4 linked regions of the Schizosaccharomyces pombe genome follow. The gene in region 2 interacts genetically with the main gene of each other region. Each region holds a gene or a part of one and is shown on either strand. Other genes may lie near its edges.

The links.
Region 1: of cdc42 (region 2) and gef1, changing one suppresses a phenotype caused by changing the other (phenotypic suppression), as found in Schizosaccharomyces pombe (5 studies listed by BioGRID, with this or other methods).
Region 3: mutations in cdc42 (region 2) and klp5 are lethal when combined (synthetic lethality), as found in Schizosaccharomyces pombe (one study listed by BioGRID).
Region 4: of cdc42 (region 2) and scd1, a mutation in one rescues a mutant of the other (synthetic rescue), as found in Schizosaccharomyces pombe (3 studies listed by BioGRID, with this or other methods).

Annotation. Positions count from the first base shown.
Region 1 is NC_003424.3:468,811-475,020, reverse strand, and holds gef1 (RhoGEF for Cdc42 (Gef1)), read left to right. Parts: upstream 1-2,030; 5' UTR 2,031-2,121; coding exon 2,122-2,163; intron 2,164-2,218; coding exon 2,219-4,438; 3' UTR 4,439-5,040; downstream 5,041-6,210. Other genes in the region: SPOM_SPAC24H6.08 (uncharacterized protein), read left to right, coding at 324-986; SPOM_SPAC24H6.10C (phospho-2-dehydro-3-deoxyheptonate aldolase), read right to left, coding at 5,195-6,210. UniProt on the Schizosaccharomyces pombe protein: Has a role in the control of cell polarity and cytokinesis. Involved in bipolar growth, via modulation of cdc42-shk1-orb6 signaling, and septum formation. Stimulates guanine nucleotide exchange of cdc42.
Region 2 is NC_003424.3:1,913,338-1,918,156, reverse strand, and holds cdc42 (Rho family GTPase Cdc42), read right to left. Parts: upstream 2,149-4,819; 5' UTR 2,050-2,148; coding exon 2,002-2,049; exon of another isoform or gene 1,839-2,001; coding exon 1,770-1,838; intron 1,340-1,769; coding exon 878-1,339; 3' UTR 501-877; downstream 1-500. Other genes in the region: heat shock protein Pss1, read left to right, coding at 1-159; mitotic and meiotic cohesin loader subunit Pds5, read right to left, coding at 2,498-4,819. UniProt on the Schizosaccharomyces pombe protein: Involved in development of cell polarity during the cell division cycle.
Region 3 is NC_003423.3:1,708,581-1,715,127, reverse strand, and holds klp5 (kinesin-8 family plus-end directed microtubule motor Klp5), read left to right. Parts: upstream 1-3,010; 5' UTR 3,011-3,206; coding exon 3,207-3,237; exon of another isoform or gene 3,238-3,293; coding exon 3,294-5,914; 3' UTR 5,915-6,047; downstream 6,048-6,547. Other genes in the region: cay1 (cactin), read right to left, coding at 242-871, 955-1,407, 1,454-1,546, 1,602-1,853, 1,900-2,025; IMP dehydrogenase Gua1, read right to left, coding at 6,247-6,547. UniProt on the Schizosaccharomyces pombe protein: Has a role in establishing metaphase during mitosis. Required for chromosome segregation where it generates tension during kinetochore capturing.
Region 4 is NC_003424.3:3,513,301-3,519,867, forward strand, and holds scd1 (RhoGEF Scd1), read left to right. Parts: upstream 1-2,246; 5' UTR 2,247-2,529; coding exon 2,530-2,554; exon of another isoform or gene 2,555-2,632; coding exon 2,633-5,226; 3' UTR 5,227-5,434; downstream 5,435-6,567. Other genes in the region: protein Pos1, read left to right, coding at 729-830, 887-1,594; rsm7 (mitochondrial 37S ribosomal protein uS7m), read right to left, coding at 5,594-5,839, 5,927-6,460. UniProt on the Schizosaccharomyces pombe protein: Required for mating and morphogenesis. May contain a cryptic binding site for cdc42 that is enhanced by binding Ras. Interacts directly with scd2. Promotes the exchange of cdc42-bound GDP by GTP.

The sequences.
Region 1 (6,210 bases), 1.4 Mb from region 2:
TTTACTACACCAAAATGTCGATATTATTCGTCAGCTACGAACTTTGATGCTCTAAGTACTTATATTTATCCTTATTATAATAACCTTACCATTTTTTCCTACTACCGTTGTTTTTAATAGTTCCGCTGCTGAAATCACCTTATTGAACATGTGATATATGGCAATGTTGCATTCGTCTCTTCTTATCCACTACCACAAACCTTCTTGAACTGCTATAAAGGAATACACCAGCCAGTTTCTTTGGTCGAGATAGAAAGATTCTTATTTATTTCGTTCGTTTAAACAAACTAAACATAGAACAACATTATTTGCGTCAACACAACATGACTTCACATCAAACTGGGAAAATTGAGGTGCACTGGAACGATCCTTCTTCTGGTATCTTTTTAAGTCAAACTCAACGAACGTCTTCCACATCAAGTTTAAAGAAATCGGCTTCGAGTAGACGTTTGGTTTATGGTGATGACATGCTGGCACCCAAACCGTTAGCTGGTCAAGTACTTAGTAAATCACCACTTCCTCCTTTTTCACCTTCAAAAATTATGAACAGGAGTATATCTGTTCCTCCCACGAATATCTCTGTTCCTCAAATTAGCAGTAATCCTCTCAACTTGATGAAGAAAAGCAGTGACAATGATATCTTTACCACGTTTAACGATACAACAAACGATTGTATGAACGAAGCTTCTTGTGAAGATGTCAGGCACTCCCTATTGCAAATTATAGAAAGTAAATCAAATCTTAGTGATTCTGTTCATAAGATGTTGGGTGAACGAGTCAAAACGAATTTACTATTACAAGGTCAACTAGAAAACATGGAAGGCTTTTGGCTACAAAAATTATCGCAAACATGTCGCTTGGCGTTGACAGGAAACATTAGTGAGGCGAAGGCATTTATTGTAGAAATTATGTGTGCCGGTGTTGTAACTAATTGTGTGCGCTGGTGTCCAGTTTTGAAGACTCTAATTGAAAACCTTGCTATCTAGCTTTACATGTTGTTATATATTTTCTAAATCTTCCTGCTGCAAGTTATATGACACTAATGCTCTTTTTTTCTTAATTCTATCATTTTTAATGATGTTACTCATTTGCATTTTAACAAACCATTTATAAGCATGATTAGCTATGTCGGACGCTAACGAAGTTACAAGTTAAAGGATTTAATAACACTTCCTTTTTGAAATTAGAAGAAATCTTAATAGATATAATGGAAGTTTCCATTTTTTTTACAATATATATTTTTCTTATGGCCTGTCGATTAATAGTATTTTTAGTTTAATTTACTGAAACATTATATTTGTTTTTAGTGAACACCGTAGAATATTTAGGAATTTTGACTAGGTCTGTTTATCATACACACTTAGTATTAGATATCGTGATTTTTTGAATATATGAAAAAAAGTACTACAGACAGAAAATGCAGCGTATTAGCCTCAAGTAATTATTAAAAAAAATAAAAATTTTCTTTTAAAATTATACAGTGTTTACCAAAGTTATGTAAGACAATCAACTGCCGCTTCTCTCTCATTTCTGTTTATATACATCTTTAATGTTTATTACTTATTAAAAAAAAAAAAAAAAAAAAAAAAAAAACAAAGCAAATTACGTGCATTACCAAGAAAACAAAACCGCTCTAAATATTTAAGCTAATTAAAACAATGAAATAACAAATTTATTAACTTGTAACCGTAACAGTGGAATTTATTTTAACTGCTGTCATTTCTAGAATTTCATAAAGGGAGACATGAATAAATTTAACCTTATATTACAAATTGTAAATACGTAAATGTTTATCACAAAATCGAATACTCAAGTCATATTACTATGTACCTGTGCAAGCAACCATTTGTAAACCAAGTACAAAGGTAAACTGCCTCTGTCCGCGGTTGGCGCTCAAAAAGCTGAGCCAAGCCTATTTTTGGCAAACTATTTTTCGTGGGTGATTACGTTATGCATTGGTAATGAAGATAAGGAAGTGGAAGGTATTGAAAGTGGATTAAGAAGAAGTTGGCGCCAAATCTCCAAAACCTGTGCTTTACCAACAACGTTACCTAATAAAATTCATGTAAACAAAATTTCCAAAATTGTCATTCATTTTATTGTTCTCCAAATGTTTTCAATATGGAGACTTTAAAAGCAGATCTTTCGGATATGTCCGATTCCGTATGTCCTTATACTTGATTTGAATGTGTGTATATGTGTTAACAATGTTGATCAGCCTGAGTACTTTGAAACCTTGGCAAACAGGGATTTACCAAGATTGCCTGGAACAAGCAAGCTTCATCGAGCTGCATGTATTAAACGAAAATCTATCAATTTAAGCCTTCCTTCTAACAGTTATTCGCTTTCTTACCGACAATCAGACGACACTGATGGCGATGTTTCAGAATCACAGAGTGAATACAGGTTGAGTAGTGGAAGGAGGTCTCGAGCAAGCTTTGCTCGTGCTTTACAAGATCCCCAAACTCCAAACACTCCTCCCGTATCGTCTCAGCACCGAAGATTCTTTTCGGAGGGCTCCTTCAATTTGCCAAACTCCAACATGAGCCACTCATTAAATGGGGATTCTACAGCCTCTAATAGTTCTACTTTAACCCCTAATCGTATTTATGGGGACCGCAATCGTCAAGATTATGCTCAGTCTAGCCGATATACTTTGCCTTCGTTGCCTAGTTCCCCATCATATAACTGTCCTACAACACTTCGAAAAATACATACAAACACGAGTAGCAATGGAACTTCACGAAGAGTTAGCGGCCTAGGGTCTTTTATGGCACAGAATTCCTCTGAAACTAGCAGTAACAGGACTTCGGCGTATCTACCTGGTAGCTCTACGGATGAACAAGAAAAGCGTTCCAGTGTGACTTTGGCAAGTATGCCTTCCTCTCATTCGTCTACAGCGTCCCTCCTTTCACCTCTTGATACTACTTCTTTTTCTACTAAGTTGGACTCTACTATTTTGGCCTTGGAAACTGATGAGTCTCTCAGCCGAACAATTTCGTATGCCACTACTTCTTTACCGAGCACACCAGGTAAGCGTTTATCAAAGGAATCTCTTGCTATGTCTGAAGCCAGTTCTATCAATCCAGAATATAAGCGTATTAAAAAGCGTGCAAATTTGATTAAAGAGCTGGTTACTACTGAAGCTGCCTATTTAAACGATCTCATTGCGATTCAACAAAGTTATGGCTTGCGGGTCAAAGAATGCAGTGCATTGAATCCAGTTGACGCCCAAACAGTTTTTGGCGATATAGAGTCTTTATTAACTTTTACTGTGGAATTCCATAGTCGACTTTATCAAGCTGGTGAAGGCTCCTGGCGTGTAAACTTGGATACCCAGCTTATAGATCCTCTTCCTTGCAATTTAGGTCTTATTTTTTTAGAAAGCCTTTCTGAAATCGGTCAAATTTATACTGGTTATTGCAACCGTCAAGATTCGGTTTTCAAAATTATCACTAAATGGAGAGAGAAACCTGCAACTGCATCCTGGATTATGGAGGGTGATAAAATAGTTCAAAAATACACGAACGCCTGGGATTTGGGTAGTTTAATAATTAAACCTTTACAGCGCTTACTCAAGTACCCCCTATTATTGCAAAAAATCATTGATGTTACTCCTGAAAGTAGTTCTGAGCGCCCAGATTTGGTCCTTTCTTATCAACTATTACAGGAGTTAATATCTGGTATAAACCAGAAGCAGAAGCCTTCTCATAAGCGTGGGTCGTTAAGTGCTTCTCATAAACGAGACGCTGCTTGGAGTTTACTCTATAAAGCAACATCGAATAAATCTAGGCCCACCACTACATCTACTGAGTTAAAAACTGATGCTCGATTGAATTTTCAACGCCAAGTGCTTCAAGATTTTCGACAACGATTCGCTATATTAAAAGCCTTACATGCTACATTGGAAACGTGGTACGTTACTGTACATCGTGGATTTTCGGTTTTTGAAAAGGTTTTAGCAGAGCTTGAAGGGCTTAGTGCTTTAGAGCCCGAAGACAAGCCGGTAGATACGTGGCGTAAGTATCATTTACTTGCGCACATGATGACTGCTAACCTTCCTTCTCAAATACAAACGTCTTTAAATTCTTCTATCCTTAACCCAATCACAAATATCCTACGAGTGATTCAAAAAGTTATTCAGTTCATTATCAGCGCTGAATTTGTGATTCCTGCTCAAAAGCTTGAGGCAATTTCTACTCTTGTTGAGAAGGAATTTCACAGTGTTGTTTATCATTTTATTGGTATTCAACGCTCTCTCTATGAAAACTACGCTCAAGGTTTCTTGTTTCTTATCCCTCAAGACATGAGGGATAGCATCTTAGAAGAAACGCAAGATTATGCAGAGTTAGTTCGAGCCTTTGAACCCATGCATTATGATGACGAGGTATTGCTGGAGGAATTAATGAAAAGTGTCTCTTTAGCTGCGAGGGTTTAAGAGCAACTTCTTTAGTCGAATATTTTTTATCTGTTCTATATATATACACATTTAGATATACTGCATTCATGTTACTTGAATGATGAAAACGTTTCTCTGGACCATGGTTTTTTGCAGCTTCCATGTATTTAACATCACAATTACATTTATTTAACCTAATATCTGCGTTTGTCTGATTACAATTCGTTTAGGTTCTTTTAACGGTCTTTTTTTGTCTATCACAGAGGCCTGTTAAGTTTAGTTTCAAATTAGGATTCTAAACGCTTTTACGCCTTCCTTTTATGCATCTCATTATTTTTGTCTGCTCAAGTCGAGCTATTAATTATTGTCTTTTCACTTTTTTTTTTTAAACTAGGAACGTTTTGGCTTTTCTGCTGTTATGCCATTTTATTTGTTCATACGCTTCCACTTTTCATTTATATGCTTTAATAATGTATATAATATTTGACTTTCACTTTAACTATGTTTTATGTTTAAAATATGTAATTAGGTTTTGATTGAATTAATTTTGTTCGTCGTTATTTATCCTAGTTGACTAACAAAAACAGGTCAAATTCTTACATTCGTAGTAAAACCAAAACGTAAATAAAAATACTTACGATGAAACAGTCTGGAACCATCCGATAAAGTGCAATGATAAGTACGATAAATAACCTTTTAAAAGTCACACTGTTAATTACGGCAAATACAAATTTATTATACAAGAAACCAAAAAATTTATTTTTATAAAACTGTCTCAATAACCTTCATTATAGGTTAATGAGAACGACGAGAACGGACGGCAGCAGCCAACTGTTCAAAAACGGCGGTAGTGTCGTCCCAACCAATGCAAGCATCGGTGACACTGACTCCATATTTCATACTTGACAAATCATCCTCAGGTATAGCTTGCTTACCTTCGTTAAGGTGAGATTCGATCATGACACCAGTAATTGCTTTCTGACCGTTTGCCACCTGCTCAGCAATACAAGCAGCAACCTTGGGTTGATTCTTATGGTTTTTAGATGAGTTTCCATGAGAACAGTCGATCATGATACTAGGTAGCTTGTTGCATTCTTCGAGTTTAGCCTTGGCACCAGCCACTGAATCAGCATCGAAGTTAGTCCCACTTTTACCACCACGCAAAATAATGTGTGTATCAGGGTTACCTGTAGTAGTAACAATGGCTACAACACCCTGCTTTGTGACAGACAAGAAATGATGAGGGTTGGCAGAAGAATTCATAGCATCTATAGCAATACCAATGTTACCGTCAGTAGCATTCTTAAAACCTATTGGAAAAGAAAGCCCTGAAGCAAGTTCTCGATGCAATTGGGACTCAGTGGTACGAGCACCAATAGCGCCCCAGCAAATTAGATCAGCTAAATATTGGGGACTTATAGTGTCCAGCATCTCTGACGCTATACCGACACCAGTTTCCAGAAGCTCCAGAAAAATGCGTCGAGCGACACGAATACCCTTATTAATGTTATAAGATCCATCCAAATCGGGATCATTAATCAACCCTTTCCATCCAACAGTTGTACGAGGCTTTTCAAGATAGGCGCGCATAATAATATGCAAGTCCTTCTTGTGCTTAATAGCCTCCTTTTGCAAGCGAATGGCATACTCCTTGGCGGCAACAGGATCGTGTAAAGAACAGGGTCCAACGATTAGAAGAAGTCTATCATCACGTCCCGCAATGATATCGGCGGCTTGGCGTCTTTGATCCGACACAAAAGCAAGTGTTTCATCAGAGGCTGCTAATTCTGATTGAATTAAAGCAGGTGAAA
Region 2 (4,819 bases):
GCCAAGGCCGCTACTAAATCCGAAGCTGAAAAGCAAAAGCCTTCAGGAAAATTTGAGGAAGGCACCGGTGGTCGTGCTCCTCCTCCTCCTCCTGCTGAGGAAGTAGCTCCTGAAAACGAAGAAGTTGAAACTATGGAAATTGACGAGCAAAAGGAGTAAAAATGGAAGAATATTATTCTTTAGGTTTAGTGTAGTGTTTAATATTTCCCTATTTTATGCGAGAATTTCATTTACGCGGTATGTTTAAACTTCGTAAAATCGAATCTCAACTGGGTTTCGGTAGGATACATTTCAATTTAGATATCTTTCTTATCAGAATTACTGGAAGTAAGTTAAAATATAGTCATTGTTAATAAAACAAACTATTGCAGAAGCTTTAAAATAATCACATGTATTTAAGCAATACTGTAGATCCATTTTTTCTCCTTTAATGCTCTAGCGACAAGAGCAAATGAGTCAACATAATCGTATCACCTAAAAATGATTAAATTATCGATTTATTTTCTAACAAATGAAATAATATTATTTGCGAATTACCTGGCTACACTAATATTAGAGCTAAAATCAAAGTCGGACCATACCGAATTCTGCGAGTAATGGCAGAAGAATACAATAATGTAGCAAAAGTATAGCAAAATCGTCGTTTATTTAACGGAAAAAGGAAATATGCCTAGCCAGAAAACACAGATATGTAAAGCCCAAGAAGTGTGTGATTGACAGAATGAATGAAGAAGCACAAAAGCTAGGATGAAAACAACAAATAGCAAATATCTTTGCAAATATGAGGGATCGTTAAAGAAAGCTAAGACATTGTTTACTGTTGTAAACTAGCTGTATTAAGGAAATTTCGGAAAAGGAAAGAAAACCAGGGGTTAAATTACAGTACCAAACACTTTGACTTTTTCTTGTGAGGAACAGGAGGATCAAGAGCGGCTACAATAGCTTCATCAAAAACATTCTTTAACCCTTTTTGGGTCAAAGCGGAACACTCAACATACTTGACAGCACCCAACTCACGAGCTAATCGTTCACCTTGCTCATGTGTAAGGGGATGCTGATGCTGGCGAGCTAGTTTCTGTTGCACAGAAGGGTCATCACGTAAATCAATTTGGGTACCAACAATTAAGCACGGGACGCCCGGACAATGATGATGAACTTCGGGAAACCACTTTTCTTTCACATTTTCAAAACTGGCAGGAGAAGTTACACTAAAACAAACCAAAAAGACGTCTGTTTGAGGATAGGATAAAGGACGCAAGCGATCATAATCCTCCTGACCAGCGGTATCGAATAAACCAAGAGTGTATGGTTCATCACCGATCATGACAGTGACAGCATACTATTTTAGTCAGTAAATCTTTACTATAAAATGAAAATCAGCTATATCAATTAAAAACGGGAGTAAAAGCAACAAGAAAGTTAGAATAGTCCCCAATATAGCAAATAGCAGAAATAATAACGACCAAATCTTCCTGGGAAAGAAAGTGGTCGCCTCATCTTATTCCTTACGAGATAAGGCTTCCTACGGTCTTTAGATCTAGTGTGGAAAAAAAAAAGCATCGGATAAAAAAAAATTATTAAACTTTCAATAGTTTCTGAGATAAAATCGATAAATACATTGAGTCATTGTTTAATCCTTCAGCCTTTTTTTGACAAAAAGCCTTATATCAAAATTTTCCGTGACCGAACATTTGAATAGTAAAAAATTTCTAATATGGGGACAAAACTTCACCAAGTACTTCATTCCATAAACAACTAATTATACTTACATTATCGAATACAGTTGGCACATAGTCACTAGGAAACTTGTTTGTAGTATAGGAAATAAGCAGACAGGTCTACATTCAAACGGTCAGTATGTGTAAAACTCAAAAGAACAATTTTTGGAAAGAAAGAAATAAAGGGGAATGTATAGACAAAAGAAACTTCATTTTAGATGATAGCAATTCTTGTATTTTTTTATGCATTGCTTAACTTCACCTTCCGTAAACATCAACTCACCTTTCCTACAGCACCGTCTCCTACTACGACACACTTAATGGTGGGCATACTATTTCACAAAAAATAATTAATCGTAAAGCTTTGCTTCACTTTATTGAATTCCTAGAAAGTTCAAACCCCTAAGTATCAAACACCGGTGTTGGTTGTAGGTAAATATATTGTGCGGTCACCGTAATTAGTTCGCCCAGCCATGCTTTATTAAGATATACTACAGCGGCTAATCCAATCTCACTATTAGATTTTACGAATTGTAAAGCGTAAAAAAACTCAAAAATGCAACTTTTATTATTATATTACTAGGAATGAAAAAAATTAATAGATGCAGAAGTTATGGAGGCATGTATGTGATGGAGTCATCTTTCAAAAGTTTAGGCAATTAGCAAGCATAGATTGTTTAACAAAAAAGATAGCAATTTATCTAATTAACATTGAAAATTCATTGGTAATATTGGGTAAGTGTTCTAGTATCGGTATTTCGCATCCAAATAAGCCTTTTTTATAAATCCTCTATTTCATCAAAATCTTCTTCGCTAATTTCCTCCTCTTCTTCGCTTATCTCCTCACTTGAAGACGGTGCTTCCGAATAATTTATACGAATCCCTTGAAATCTTGAGCTACTTCGTTCTGGCACGTTCCTAATATTAGGATTCTGCTCATTTAGCTTTCTCCTTTTTTCGTTTTTCCTTCTTCTAGACGATTTTTTATCGCTCTTTGAGCTATGAGTCTTCTTTTGCTTCAAATTTGCGTGCTTATTGGTAGTCTGTTTCGCAAAAGATGAGACTGGTGTCCTTATAGCATGTTCAATCTGACTTTCCATTTTAGGCGTTATGAAGATTTTATTGAAAATTCTCTTTTTCTCATCTATAGAGGGAATTGGTCTTAAAATTTCGTAAGGTAATTTAATTTGCTTTGGATACGTAGTCAAACTCCATCCAAAGTTCTGGGATTTCACCTGCAATATTTTCTGAGCCATGTCGCTTAGCACATAAATGTAATTGTTTCCATCTTCAATAACATCATAGCTTTGTTTTATGCGTTGCATTAGATGAAAAACGATTGGGACGTTCTCACTATTAACAACAGTGTCAACGTAAAAGCGAATGTATGCAATAAAATCAAGCGAGTTCTCTGATTCTATCGAAGATATGTCTGGATGGTGAGAGAGAAGATGGATAAGATATGTTGCTACATATTCCATGGTAAAATCATGGGTTTTCTGGAAAAAAGCAACCTGAGAACGTATCCATATAGACGCTTTAGTCTTGATCTCCTCTTCCGGATCAACAGCAGTCAGGAACAATAAAGGATAATAACTAATTGGCAACTTTTTAAGTTGCAGCTGCTTCTGAAGCTTCGTCAAAAATAAATTTCTCACGTCAAAATTTTCATCTTGGCATAATAAGGAGATTTGAACGTAAGAACTAAAATCTATATGTTCCGCATAAAAAGGAATGGAACATAACTTTAAAAAATATTTGCTAGCAGTGAGACGTAAATAAGCACGAGAAATTTTGGGAGTATTCTTGAACGGACTTAATTCACCGTCAGCCATTAACAATACTTTCAATAGCTTAATGATAGGAGCTCCAATATTTAACGCTTCGGTTCCTCCTGCCGCCGCCCTCAGTCGATTAACCAAAACCCTAATTGCTAAAACTTTGCACATGGTAAGATTATCTAATTTTTCGTAAGTACACCATTCCTCATCATTATGCGTATCATCATATTTTTCAGGAAAGCGCTGTATAACTTTTTTTACTAAAAATTCTGTAACTTGGTCAGCAACCTTCTCTACCTCTTCTAAAGTGTATAGAAATAGTTGTCCTAAAGTCATAAGCCGTACAGGAAGTCCTCCATTATACTCCAAATTTTCCACGATATTCGTTATCATATCGAGTTTGAATTCTTTCGTCTCCGTTATAGCGATAATCGTCGCTGCCTGTTTGGCTTGTTCCTGTGTTCCATGTAGACACAACTTTCGTAGTATTTCAGCAGTTGTTGTTTGTATAGAAAAATTTTTTTTTCTTTTGGAGAATTGGGAAAGAGCTTTAATTACTTTAGGATCCGATTCAATGCCCGAAGAAACTATAATATTTTCAACTTCTATAACAACCTCTCCATATATGTTGGGATGAATTAGCGGTAAATGCTGTAAAAGAGCCTCCGACGGCTTAAGGAAATTGTGGTATTTTACAGGTTCATTTAATAATTGAATTATTTCATGCACGTTGCTTTTATTAAAAGCAAACAGAGCTGAACGGTAAACGAATATTCTAAAACATTCAAGACTTGCGGTACTCAACGTTTCAGAAACCCTTTTAAATAAATATTTTATGCTTTTTAAAACAACTTGATATTCACTTTTAATGGAAAACGTTTGTAAAAGCATTTTGTAGCTTTGACGATCATTAAGTTCCGCAAATTTTCTGAAAGTGGCTTCTGTTAATGTAGGATTAGAACTTTTTGATGATATGATATCAATCACCTTCTTAAGCTTGTTGGTAATTGACTCTTCATCATTATCCATAACACCTCCATTGTAATTTTTGCAGCACTCAATGTAGTAATTTAAGAGTTCCGAATACTTAACTTGTCTTTGTAAAAGTAGAATAAAAACTCGCATCGCTTTTTCACTAAAATACTTTATTGAAAGGAAAAGCCTGTTTAACCTTGTTTGCGTATCAGAACTAAGGTATTGTAGGACCAGTTCAGCCATACAAATTTCAACAGCCGCATTAGTTGTTTCATCATTAACATAAAATACTTCCAAAAGAGATGAAGGGATCCAGCTGAACATCTGTATTGAGTATTCCACACC
Region 3 (6,547 bases), on a different chromosome or scaffold from region 2:
CATATTTTTATGTCAGGGAACTTCAAATTTCTATGATGCCTTTTCCTTCTATTTATCACCCCCTTCTTCTTGAATTAGTTTAGCTTTTCAATCACGAACTAATCGATTTCGTGTTTCTTTACGATTAAACTTATTTATGCAATACTTAAGTAGTTTAGTAGATGCCTTTTAAGGTTGTTTAGCTGCACATGTAACAGTAATTTAAATTTCATTAAATGTACAACATGATAAATCAGTTATTTTACCTTCTATGATGAAGCTTTTTGAATCGAAAATGGAGGGATAAAACACCATTGTCAAAACTGCTTTTAAACCCATGATCTCGTTTTGCACTGTAATCCCAATCTTTATCTACTATACTGAAGGCAATATCCTGATATGGTTCCCCAGCTATAAAACGTATAATGCAAACATCGTCTTGTAAATCAGTAGTGTCGCTTTTATTCTTCCTTCGTGTTCGTTCTATTCGATACGTTGGTGCACGGCCTGTACCTATTAAATCTGGATAAAAAACGTTAAAACGGTACCCTTGAACTGCTTTGGGAGGTGGGTGGGCTTCATTGAAATGTGCTTGATTATAAGAATTCCATTCAAACCCAAGCAAAACTCTATTAAAGTAGTGAGGCTTTTTCAAAGTAACCCCGTTTTCGTTAACAACACGGGTTTGCCCTTCTACATAGTCCCCAAGCATCTCTTGCTCCTCTGCATCATCGGATTGTAAGTATTCTCTTTCGAGTCGTGCCCTGTTGGCAATTGAAAATTCATCCTCGTTAATCAGATTACTGTTTTTCGGCAAAGTTGGCTTTTGTTTTTGGGTAGGTATCGATATTGGAATATAAGTGCTAGACTTTACAATATTGACATGATCATTCTAGAAAAGATTTTGGTTAGGACAAAAGATGGAAATCGTAATTTGGAAGAGAGTTAATATTATGAAAAACACAAATATCTTACCAATTCTTTTTCATAATCGGCTTGTTCTTCAGGTTGTATCCTGCGTGGTATCGCTTGAGCCCTCAAAATGGGCTTCGGGTCTATAGGGACAATATATAACTTCTCTTCACGATCCTTCATATTTGACAGTTTTTTGGCATCGGAAAAAGCTTTGTCCCATTCTTCATTATCAAGTTTATTTTTTCGAATTTGTAATTCTTCATTAAAAGTCTTTTTTAAATAAGCAATGGCCTTGTAAGATTTTAAAGAGTTTAGTAAATCAACCCAATAATCTGTATCGAGAGGGACATTGCTCTTCAATTTTTTTTGAATTTGTGCCTCAAGCTGTTCTAATTGTTCAAAAGATTTAGGGGCTAAAATCCTTTGTACTTCACCTGCTACGACCTTTAACCCTCTTGAAAATTGCCCAACTTTGTTATGTTCCATTCGAGAATTCACTAGCATTTTAACGTACTATAATGTATAATTTAGCACTTAAAGCATAAAAAATAATCCATACCTTCCAATAAGTTAGTCTACATTGGTTCGTTTCCAGCTGCTGAATATCACCAATATTTCTAGATATCTCCTCCAAATCTTCTGCTTTATAACTCTAAGTATGTTAATGATTAATCTGTTATAAAGTAAAAATAAAATAAGTCCCTTACTTGAATAACAGAGAGTGGATCAAACATGTCAACTGTTCCAAAATCAATTGAATTTTTTTCTCCATTCTCTTCCCATTCTGGGCCTGGCATCAAGTAAACGCTGACAAGAAGTTTATCTATAGGCTTAGAACGATCATTCTTAAGTCGAATAATAGCTCTTCGAAGCTGCTGTAAACGCAAAAATTCCCGTTCTTGCATTTCTTTCGTTTCCCTACTTCGCTCTTCCTCTTTCATAGCATCTCTCACTCTCGGCTAAAGGGAAGGTTAATTCAAAAACAACTAACATTTTCCTACTTACTAAATTATAATTTGCTCTTGCATTTTGATTTGAAGGTCGAAATGAACGAGGTGAAGAAGATCTCGAAGCATGCCTTTTTTCAGGTCTACTTCTGTTGAAATCGCGAGTTGAATCACGAAATGCCATAGTAATATATTTAAATTCAATGCCTTAAATACCAATATTGCTGTATGAAGGGTGCTTTCCAACAGAAGAGAATCCAATTGCTTTTTTTTTATTTGAAACAACTCAATGAGTAGGTTAAGTTTTTTTTTTTGAAATTTGAAACGTAGAGCTTTGTTATTTGATAAATGAACTTAAGGTAATCAATTACTTAGCAATAATAAGACTTATCCAACAATAGTAAAATTTATGGTTATGGCAAAGGTGAAATTTTATTGCATATTCGAATGCTTAGTAGGTAGTTCTAATTTGACGCTTGGTGGTTTGAAAGAAATTGAGCGGTAATGTTATAGCACGAAAAACCCCTAATTCATTATAGTTGCTATTGGTAAAAGTCTCAACGATATCGACTAAAAGGTGAAGTAAAACTCAGTATTTAGTACCTAACGAATATAGGAATACCCAATATAAAATATAGAATATAATTTTGTTTATAGCGCTCACTAGTCCTCTGCTTTCAAACTAATCAGATATTTAGGCCATCAGTTAATTGGCAATAAAGTAGCTAGTGCAGCAGTTGTGGTGTTTATAGAAGTGCTAGAAGAATATATACACTTATTTGATGTTCTATTGCAATTATAGGTGAAAATGATTTAAATTTGTCGGACGATTTATTAAAGTGTGATAAAAGTAAAGCAAAGCAAGAATCTTGCCAGGCATGTGTACATTATAAGTTACAAACCAAACGATAGCGATTCAGTTCAATCATCGAATTTAGTTGCCTTTTATAATAATAAAAATACTGTAAAAGCATCTATGATACTGAGATAGCATTATACACAACTAGTGAAAATGAAAAGGTAAAACAGTATTTCAACTCGATTTTAATCGTAACTACCTGTATTTGTGTTTATTGTCAAAATATGTAAATAATGTAATTGTTTACATCTTTTATTGCCATAACAACCATTCAAAACAAAGTGCGTTACTTGACTAAGAAATGTAACTTGGCAAATGCCAAACAGTCAACATTGAAGCGCACTCAAAAAACGCGTTTCTCGCTCTTTTCTACTGTTACATCTATTTTAATAGTGATCTTCGATATAAATTGCTTTTATTCAAGAAGGTTATTGGAATTGTTGTTTGCGAGTGCCCTTCTTTTCATCTGTTTTGGATGATTGCTTGCATGGAAATTTTGCTTTTCAATGTCAAGACAGTCGTCCATTACCGTTACAGGTTAGTCTTTAATGTGATGTTTTTTAAATTCATATCTTTTTGCTAACATAAAATAGTCCGTGTTCGCCCATTTAGTACAGCTGAATCTGCAAATTTAATTGCATCCTCAGATCGTTTATCATTTGGAACATCTTCTTCCTTAAGGAACCCTGGTTCAGGACGTCAAATTCGACGAGTAGTAAAGGTACTTGATGGACGTGTCTTGGTATTTGATCCCCCGGATGAAACAACGGCTACTTTGAGTGCCACAAACCGCAGACTTTCTACTTCTCAACAGAGTCTCGCTAGATTATCTAGAAAGTCAAACAATTCTGCGGGATTTGGCCGTGATCTTCGTTATGCTTTTGATAGGGTTTTTGATGAAACTGCTACTCAGCAACAGGTGTATGAGAGAACTGCCAGGCCGTTATTAGACAATATTTTGGATGGATTCAATGCTACTATCTTTGCATATGGAGCAACTGGATGTGGTAAAACTCACACCATTAGTGGAACAATGCAAGATCCTGGTTTAATATATTTGACACTAAAAGAACTTTTTGAGAGAATGGATCATTTAAGAGATGAAAAAATTTTTGACCTTCGCCTTTCCTATTTGGAAATTTATAATGAAACTATTCGTGATTTATTAGTATCACCGACCCCAAATCAAGCAAAGCCATTAAATTTACGGGAAGATGCAGACCGTCGCATTACTGTACCAGGTCTTACTTCTTTGTCTCCAGAATCTTTGGAAGAAATCATTGATATTATCATGAAGGGAAATGCTAATCGTACTATGTCTCCGACAGAAGCTAACGCTGCTTCATCTCGTTCGCATGCTGTATTGCAGGTTACGTTGATCCAAAAACCTCGTACAGCTGGCATCAATGAGGACCACACTTTGGCCACTTTATCAATTATTGACTTGGCTGGCTCAGAACGTGCAACAGCTACCAAATTAAGAGGTAGTCGTCTTTTTGAAGGTGCTAATATTAATAAATCTCTTTTAGCCCTAGGAAATTGTATCAATGCCCTTTGTGATCCCCATCGCCGTGCGCATGTCCCCTATCGTGATTCTAAACTTACTCGCTTACTTAAGTTTAGTTTAGGCGGAAATTGTCGGACAGTTATGATTGTTTGCGTATCTCCGTCTTCTGTTCATTACGAAGAAACTCACAATACTCTAAAATATGCTAATCGAGCAAAGAATATCAAAACCGAAGTGTTAAGGAACATGATCAGTGTAGATCGACATGTAAGCCAATATGTAAAAGCAATCGTTGAGTTACGTGAGCAAATTTCAGAGTTGGAGAATCGTCTCGCACAGATCGATTTGTCATCGCAATCAAATGGTTCTGATCAGGACGCTGTAACTCAATCTTTTGCTCATGAATCGAAGCTTGCAGAAGCCAGAAATTTATTGCGTATGACATTTGAGGAGACTTTACCACTGCAAAATGATACTATTAATAAGGTAGAAAAGGTGAAACATTTTGATGATTCAATTCGCGTACTTAAGTACTGGTTATCCTGCTATGAGCGAATACTTCCGAATTCCGCAGATGAACGAGTATTTTTAGTTCGTTCAAAGTTAGAATCATTGTTAACTCGTCGTGCAGAGATCATTGCTGATATAGATCCTGAACTTGTATACCAAAAGTTTCAGAGAAGTGTTTCTCACATTATCAACACATACAAACAAGAAGGTGCTACCATGTACGCTGATGTGTTACAGGATGAAGTTGACTTGCTAAAATCAATTATTGAGAATCAGGTTCTAGATGCTCAGAATAAAGTTGATGAGTTCACTCCTGTTTTAGAATCCCTTCTTAGAAGTTCTTTCAAAGCTAGTTCATTGCTAAAAGAGGGAGGTATGCAAGAGCTATTCTCGATACTGGAAAAGTGGTTGTTGGGCATTGGTCTTGGCGAGAAACCTAATATATCTGTCTTATCAGAAAGTTATAAGCTCAACTCAACATCCGATGATTCACGAACTATCAATCGTGATAGAGTTCATAGTTTTCCCACTCAACCCTTGCTTAATAATAACTTGCCTCGAATGTTTTTCGTGAAGTCTCCAAAAAAACCAGTTGTATTTTCAAAACGTTCTCCAAAAAAGAGGGTTCGTTTCGACGATTCAATGTCTACGTCTGACTCAGGTGCCTCCGCGTATAACTCACCCATTCAAACCTCTAAGTTAAAGAACATGAACTTCTTTAATACTATGCATATGCCTTCAACTCCTGCACATAAACGGCCTGAAAATAAGAATCAGATAGATGTTGAAATTAATCTTACTTCGCCTGTCTCCCCGATGTTGGAAGATAAACCAGAACCTGGACTTTTGATAAAAAGTCCTTTGGAGAAAAAGCAAGAAGTTAATAGTGAATCCACACAGCTTGATCAACTGCTGGCCGAGGACTCGTCAACTGACGATGTTTCTTTACCTCATCTGGACACTATTGATCTGGATGGTAGTCCAGTCCCAAAAGTTCCTGATTTGAATTTTTCCAGAGCCAATATGGACTCACCAACATTCATCCTCAACAATGAAGCTATTCACAACTTTGATTTTTCTAAACCGAAGACTCGACAAAGCCTCAGTTCATTGACTACTCTTCATCTTTCAAATCCAGCTAACATTATTAGGAAATCTTTAAGCATGGCTGAAAACGAAGAAGAGAAAGCCACCTAAAGGTCCGTATATTCAAATACGAATCCTCTAAATATCCTGTTGGGTATATTTAAAAAAAAAAAACGGATAAGCTTGATGATATGAATTTTTAATGAATTAATAACTTATTAGATTATATATTTATAAACCCTAAAATTCTCTTAGTAAACTTGCACAATTCGTTCGTAATGCACTATCAAATACAAGCGTACATATATGTCTGCCACCTCCAATGTACATAATTTTGTTTTTTTCTACCTAAGCAAAACACAATTGACTTGAAAAAAAAATAAGTACTATAAATGCAATTTATTAACTTTAATTAAATTTTTCCTAAATATCCTTATACACGACTAGTAAAGACGCTTTTCGTATGTAGCAAAACCTTGGATATCACCTTCACGGATGGCAGCGCTCGAACGTAACTCGAAGCGAACTTCATGCTTGTCGACAGCTTCATGAAGCTCATCAAGAGATTTGGTACCAATATCTTGAAGAGCGTGTTGCAAACCAGTGTAGAGATAAGGTAAAAAGCGAAGAAGCGAGCCCTTGTCGACGACCAAACCAGAGACACCTTGGGCAACACGGACAGCATCGTTTTCAGAGAAATAGCGGCCAGTAGAAGCATTCTTATTAACACCAGTACCTTCCATT
Region 4 (6,567 bases), 1.6 Mb from region 2:
TTAAAAAAATAAAACCATTTGTCCCCACAACTGTTTGTGAAAAAATAAAAATGAAATGCGGTAGTCTGAATGGAATTTCACAGTGTTGACTTACTGTTTGCTATAAAGTATTTAATTGATACAATCATTTCATCTCGTAGACTTTTATTTAGTGCGACGAAAAAGCATTCAGTCAAAATTAAAATGAGAAGACACTGTAGAACGAACATTGTAAGAAATTGGTTTAATGTTTTTAGAAAAAATTCTTTACCGCTTTCTTTTATTAAACAGAAACAAGATTACAGGTCTCCCTTGCTTTGGCTTTCACGGAAGTGTGTTGAATTGGATTTATAATTTAAGATCATACTTCGTGACATATACGCTGGCTATTAAGTATGCAATTAGAGCCTTAGGATTTTTTAGCTATGGTCTAAGTGATAATCAGCTTTCGTGGAAAAGTTATATTTTAATCAGAACAGTTGTCTAAGTGATCTGTGGCTGTAAAACGTTAGAAAGCCGGTTTCTCAGATAAAATACCTTAACTACAATCGAATTACTAATTACCTCAAAAAGTTTCGATTCATTTAGACTAATCTTCGTACTCATAAAATATTATTTTTACAATACATAGTTATAAACATTTGTTACTCGTTTCGCCAAGTCACAATTTCCGCTACTCATAGTAAGTACTTGGAGCTTCCATGTTTTAAGCTAGTGCCAAACGCAGTATATTTTCGACTGTAAGCGCGATGGCCTTTTCTCCAGCTAATTCCTTTTTAATTAACAAGTCGATATGTGAGAGCAAAGAAGTGGAACCTTTAGAAGCCAATTTGTTTGGCAAATTGCACAATGTATGTAAAGTTTTAAATAGAAACATTAATTCAGTGTGTTAACATGCAAAATTTAGAAATTATTAATTTGCAAAGCCAAAAAAGAAAATTTGGAAAAGAAACTGGCATATCAAATGATGTACTCGAAGCTTCTCAAATCTTTACCCAAGTTAAGCAGTCTAGAGGAGAACAAATTAACCAAACTAAAGGCTCCTATAGAGGATATGGAGAATACGAAGAAAGAGCTGGAAGAAATCAGGAAACAATCCACTGAGACAGAGTTACGTTATCTTAAGTCTCTATCGAACACTTTGAGCTTTGGTACATTATCTTTATCAAACGAGATTAACAAGGTTGGTCCTTCAGCTTCTTTTATGCTGAAGGAAGTTCATGATAGCGTACAAGTATTGGAACAACGACTTGAAAAGATGGGTCTCATCGAAAAGCCATCCGAATCTTCTGAATCCTCTATTTATTCCATCTTGGCTTCTTTAAAACATACCAACGACAGTTTACAGAAAAAAGAATTATCTCCTCATGAAATTGCCGAAAGTCCCTCTTCTCATTCGACCTCTCCAATGGGAAGAAACGTTGACACAGAAACACTGTCTTTTTTACTTATTGATTGGCAACGATTATGTGCAGAACAAAATACCTTTTTACGTGATATCACTAATAATATGAGCTCTTCTGTTCCTCAAGATGTATTATCTCAACTACGACAATTTTTCTTCCGAAGCGAGTTGTTGTCAGATAAGTTGTCAAACTTGTGCTCCGAGTCCTAGTCCTCAAATCTTTCCTATTTTCCCTTACTTATCTTTGTTCTTTCTGTCAAGCACTCACTCCTTTTACTTTAATATTTTTGTTTTCAGTCTTTTTATTAAGCCGTTACTCTCGTTATCCCTGTTTTATACTTTTAAGTCATCAGGTCCATTCGTTATCATTTTACTACTGTATTTCAATACGTTCTTAACATTAATTTTTTTAACTTTTTTGTCTCTTCTTATCAATTGAAAGGCTGAATTGGTTTATTTAGCATCGTCGTCCTTTTTAAAGACCTCACTCTTTTCTTGGACATCTACCTTTCCTACCAAATTTGTGTCTTACTAATTTTTTTTTTAATTCCCGTTCAATACATGATTTTCCTTGTTACATTACTAAAACAATCGCTCTACTTAATTTATTTACCAAATTTGCAAGCTTGCCTTTTGTAATCGTTTTAATATTGGGATGGTTGGAGATATCCCTTCATTTTTTTAGCAATGAAATTTCAGTTGCCAGCTATTTTATCGTCATAATATCTCCGTTTCAAAAGACTTAGCAGTAGGATTTTCTATCAAATGAACTGAAGAAACAAGTATATTTACCGTAATACATTTACGATACGCTATTCGATTCAACTGATCGCCAAGTGTCTCACTATTACCTTAGTACCTTGTCAACTATACATACTGTGATTTTATCAATTGCAGTAAAACAGCAACTTATTTTAGACAATTTTACTTTGGAGTCAGTTTTAATTTTTATATTTAATTCCAAAGAAACTTCAGGCTTTTTTATGTTTAAGAAATCTTGAAATTGGGTTGTTGGTTTGAATTTCCATTAATTGTTCAAGCATTGGACTACATGCGAGTACTTATACTTTTCTAGCAGTTAAAGGAAATTTTATTTTCTGTATTTTACTGCATTAGGAAGGAGTCTCGAGAAGAAGTTATCAGTTATGGCCTACTTTCAGGATCGCAAAAGTATGTAACGATTGAAAGAAATTTAGAACACAAAAACGCCATTTATGTGTATGCAATTAACTAACTAACTTCTAAAAGCATCCTCTAGGTCTCTTCCTTCTTACATCAATCACAGCACCCAAAACCTTGTAGGTCCTCGTAAAGATGAGACTAATCTGTCAGAATACATGAAACTTAGGCTTTTACAGTCTCCGTCACAAGTTATTTATAATTTAGAAAATACGGTTTCATTATACAGACGATGTCTAAATCTCCGGAAGCGATTGATGGATATATCAGAGTTGGCTGCTTTCTTTGACAGTATTCATCGTGAAGCCTTGAATAGCTCTTTCAAAATACTGGAATTTAAGGACATTGAATTTGATGATCCAGTTACGGAAATTTGGCTGTTTTGTCGTTTAGGTTATCCATTGTGTGCCCTGTTCAATTGCTTGCCAGTTAAGCAAAAATTGGAAGTTAATAGTTCGGTTTCTTTGGAAAATACGAACGTGTGTAAAGCTAGTTTATATCGTTTCATGCTCATGTGTAAAAATGAACTTGGACTCACAGACGCCGCCCTTTTTTCCATATCAGAAATTTATAAACCCTCGACAGCTCCACTTGTTAGAGCTCTTCAAACCATTGAACTTTTATTGAAAAAGTATGAAGTTTCCAATACCACAAAATCATCTTCTACTCCTAGTCCTTCTACTGATGATAATGTACCAACAGGAACTCTTAACAGCTTGATTGCATCTGGCCGTAGAGTCACTGCCGAATTATATGAAACCGAATTAAAATACATTCAAGATTTAGAATATTTGTCCAACTATATGGTCATACTTCAACAAAAACAAATTCTATCCCAGGACACTATTCTCAGTATATTTACGAATTTAAACGAGATTTTAGACTTTCAAAGACGTTTTTTGGTTGGTTTAGAGATGAATCTTTCGCTTCCTGTAGAAGAACAACGACTAGGCGCACTCTTCATTGCCTTAGAAGAGGGATTTTCTGTTTACCAAGTGTTTTGTACAAATTTTCCGAATGCTCAACAACTGATCATTGATAATCAAAATCAGTTACTGAAAGTTGCGAACCTGCTTGAGCCCTCTTATGAATTACCAGCTCTGCTGATTAAGCCTATACAGCGTATATGTAAATATCCGCTTCTCTTGAATCAATTACTAAAAGGTACTCCCTCAGGTTATCAGTACGAAGAGGAACTAAAACAAGGAATGGCTTGTGTAGTTCGTGTAGCAAACCAAGTTAATGAGACTCGTCGTATTCATGAAAACCGAAATGCCATTATTGAGCTTGAACAACGTGTGATTGATTGGAAAGGATACTCTCTTCAATACTTTGGACAACTGCTAGTTTGGGATGTTGTTAATGTATGCAAAGCCGATATAGAAAGAGAGTATCACGTTTACCTTTTTGAAAAAATTTTGTTATGTTGTAAAGAAATGTCAACTCTGAAACGGCAAGCCCGAAGTATAAGTATGAACAAGAAAACTAAACGTCTTGATAGTCTTCAACTGAAGGGAAGAATTCTGACATCCAACATCACTACTGTGGTTCCCAACCATCACATGGGCTCATATGCTATTCAAATATTTTGGCGTGGTGATCCTCAACATGAATCTTTTATTCTTAAGTTACGTAATGAAGAAAGTCATAAACTATGGATGTCCGTTCTTAATCGACTTTTATGGAAAAACGAGCACGGATCTCCAAAGGATATTCGTAGTGCTGCTTCGACCCCTGCTAACCCTGTCTACAATCGTTCTTCTTCTCAGACTTCAAAGGGTTACAACTCCTCCGACTATGATCTTTTACGTACACATTCTCTTGACGAAAATGTTAATTCTCCTACAAGCATTTCCAGTCCCTCTTCCAAATCTAGTCCGTTCACGAAAACTACTTCTAAGGATACAAAGTCTGCCACCACAACTGATGAAAGGCCATCGGATTTCATTCGTTTAAACAGCGAAGAATCAGTGGGTACCAGTAGCCTTCGTACTTCGCAAACAACATCAACTATAGTTAGTAACGATTCTTCATCGACTGCATCTATTCCTAGCCAAATCTCTCGTATCAGCCAGGTCAATTCGCTATTGAACGACTATAACTACAATCGTCAAAGTCATATAACTAGGGTGTATTCAGGTACTGATGATGGGTCTTCAGTCAGCATTTTTGAAGATACATCTTCATCAACGAAACAAAAAATTTTTGATCAACCTACTACTAATGATTGCGACGTAATGAGACCTCGTCAATATTCATATTCAGCGGGTATGAAATCAGATGGTAGTTTGCTCCCTTCTACTAAACATACTTCGTTAAGCTCGAGTTCCACGTCTACCTCCCTATCAGTTCGAAATACCACGAATGTTAAAATTCGTCTCCGTTTACATGAGGTTAGTCTCGTCCTGGTTGTTGCTCATGATATAACATTTGATGAGCTGTTAGCCAAGGTAGAACATAAAATAAAGCTTTGTGGGATTTTGAAACAAGCTGTTCCTTTTCGGGTTAGACTGAAGTATGTTGATGAGGATGGCGATTTTATAACCATCACATCCGATGAAGACGTTTTAATGGCATTTGAAACGTGCACGTTTGAACTTATGGATCCTGTCCATAATAAAGGAATGGATACTGTGTCTTTGCACGTTGTTGTTTATTTCTAAACTAGCATTGTGCTAGCTGTACATTGTCAATTTAATTTATATAGAGGAAATTAACAGTTTAGTCGATGAACTAATTTACTTTCCCTTCTTTGTTTTGAAAAAACAACAATATACTTCATAGAAGATAAATTCTGTAGCATTTCCGTTAACTGAAAAGGAGCTGTAGAAGAATGTTGATGAATATTATGAAAGTTATTTTACAACCAAACTATAACCTCATAAACATGAATATGATTAACTGCGCACTACGTAGTATAATTGAGTTGATAACTAAGAGTAATCAATTCTCGATATACTAGACAAAAATAACATTACTAAAAGGGAATGCAATTCATAAAAAAGATAAAAATGTACGGAATTTTTGTTTTTATATACGAACGGGTGCATTACCTCTGTTAACAAGGCACATTCTGTGCAGATGATCTTTCTTTTTGAAACAATTGCTTGTCTTGCTCCTGATAGCAATGATTTCTTTAACAATACGATCTGATAATCTTTTAGGACTTGATGATTTACATTCACCGAGGATCCATTGTAACGCAATCCTTCTTCGCTGTCGCTCTTTCAATGGCATAGGAAATTCGACACTTTTGTTAAATCGCTTTGCAGAAACCTATCAAAATATTAGCAAATCCGTCTACACACTATAAAAAGAAATAATTCACAAAAAATTCCAAAATTTTCAATAATTTCGACGTACCAACTTCATTAAGGGAGAAATCTCAGCGATTGCTTGTTTCAAAACATCTATAGGATTTTCACCGGTTTCTTTTTGTATGATAGAGAGCGCTGTTGCAACAATCTTTTCAGCTTTAGCTTTTTTCCCATCTCGCATTATTAAATTCACCAAATGCTGTACTGTAGAGTCGACCTGAAATGGTCGATCTATTAACCCTACAATTGAACTTGACGGAGAAGGCCACAGATTTGTACCCATTAGCGGCGGTTCTTCATTTTCAACTTCAATTTTTTTCTCTAATTCACCCATAAAATCGTCGGAGGCAGACTGTTCGACAGAATCTTGAAGTTGATTCAGTAAATTTTCGAGTCCCGCATTATCCCATTGTGGATTTGAACGTTCATTGATATCTTCAATTTTTTCATTATATTTTTCATTTGAGGTAAATTTTCCAACTTGAAAAGTACGAGTCTGATGGATAAAAACAAGCGACTCTTTCATCAAATGTCCCGAACTCGCACATCGAAACAAAGGTTGCTTTATGAGTCGTAGCATGGCCCTTTATTGTTTGTTCTTTCTTCTTGAATGAAATTTTTAAAACAATTACTCTTATTAATCAAAGCATGTAGGAAAGCTAAGGTGTGCGTAGATGTTTAAGCTTA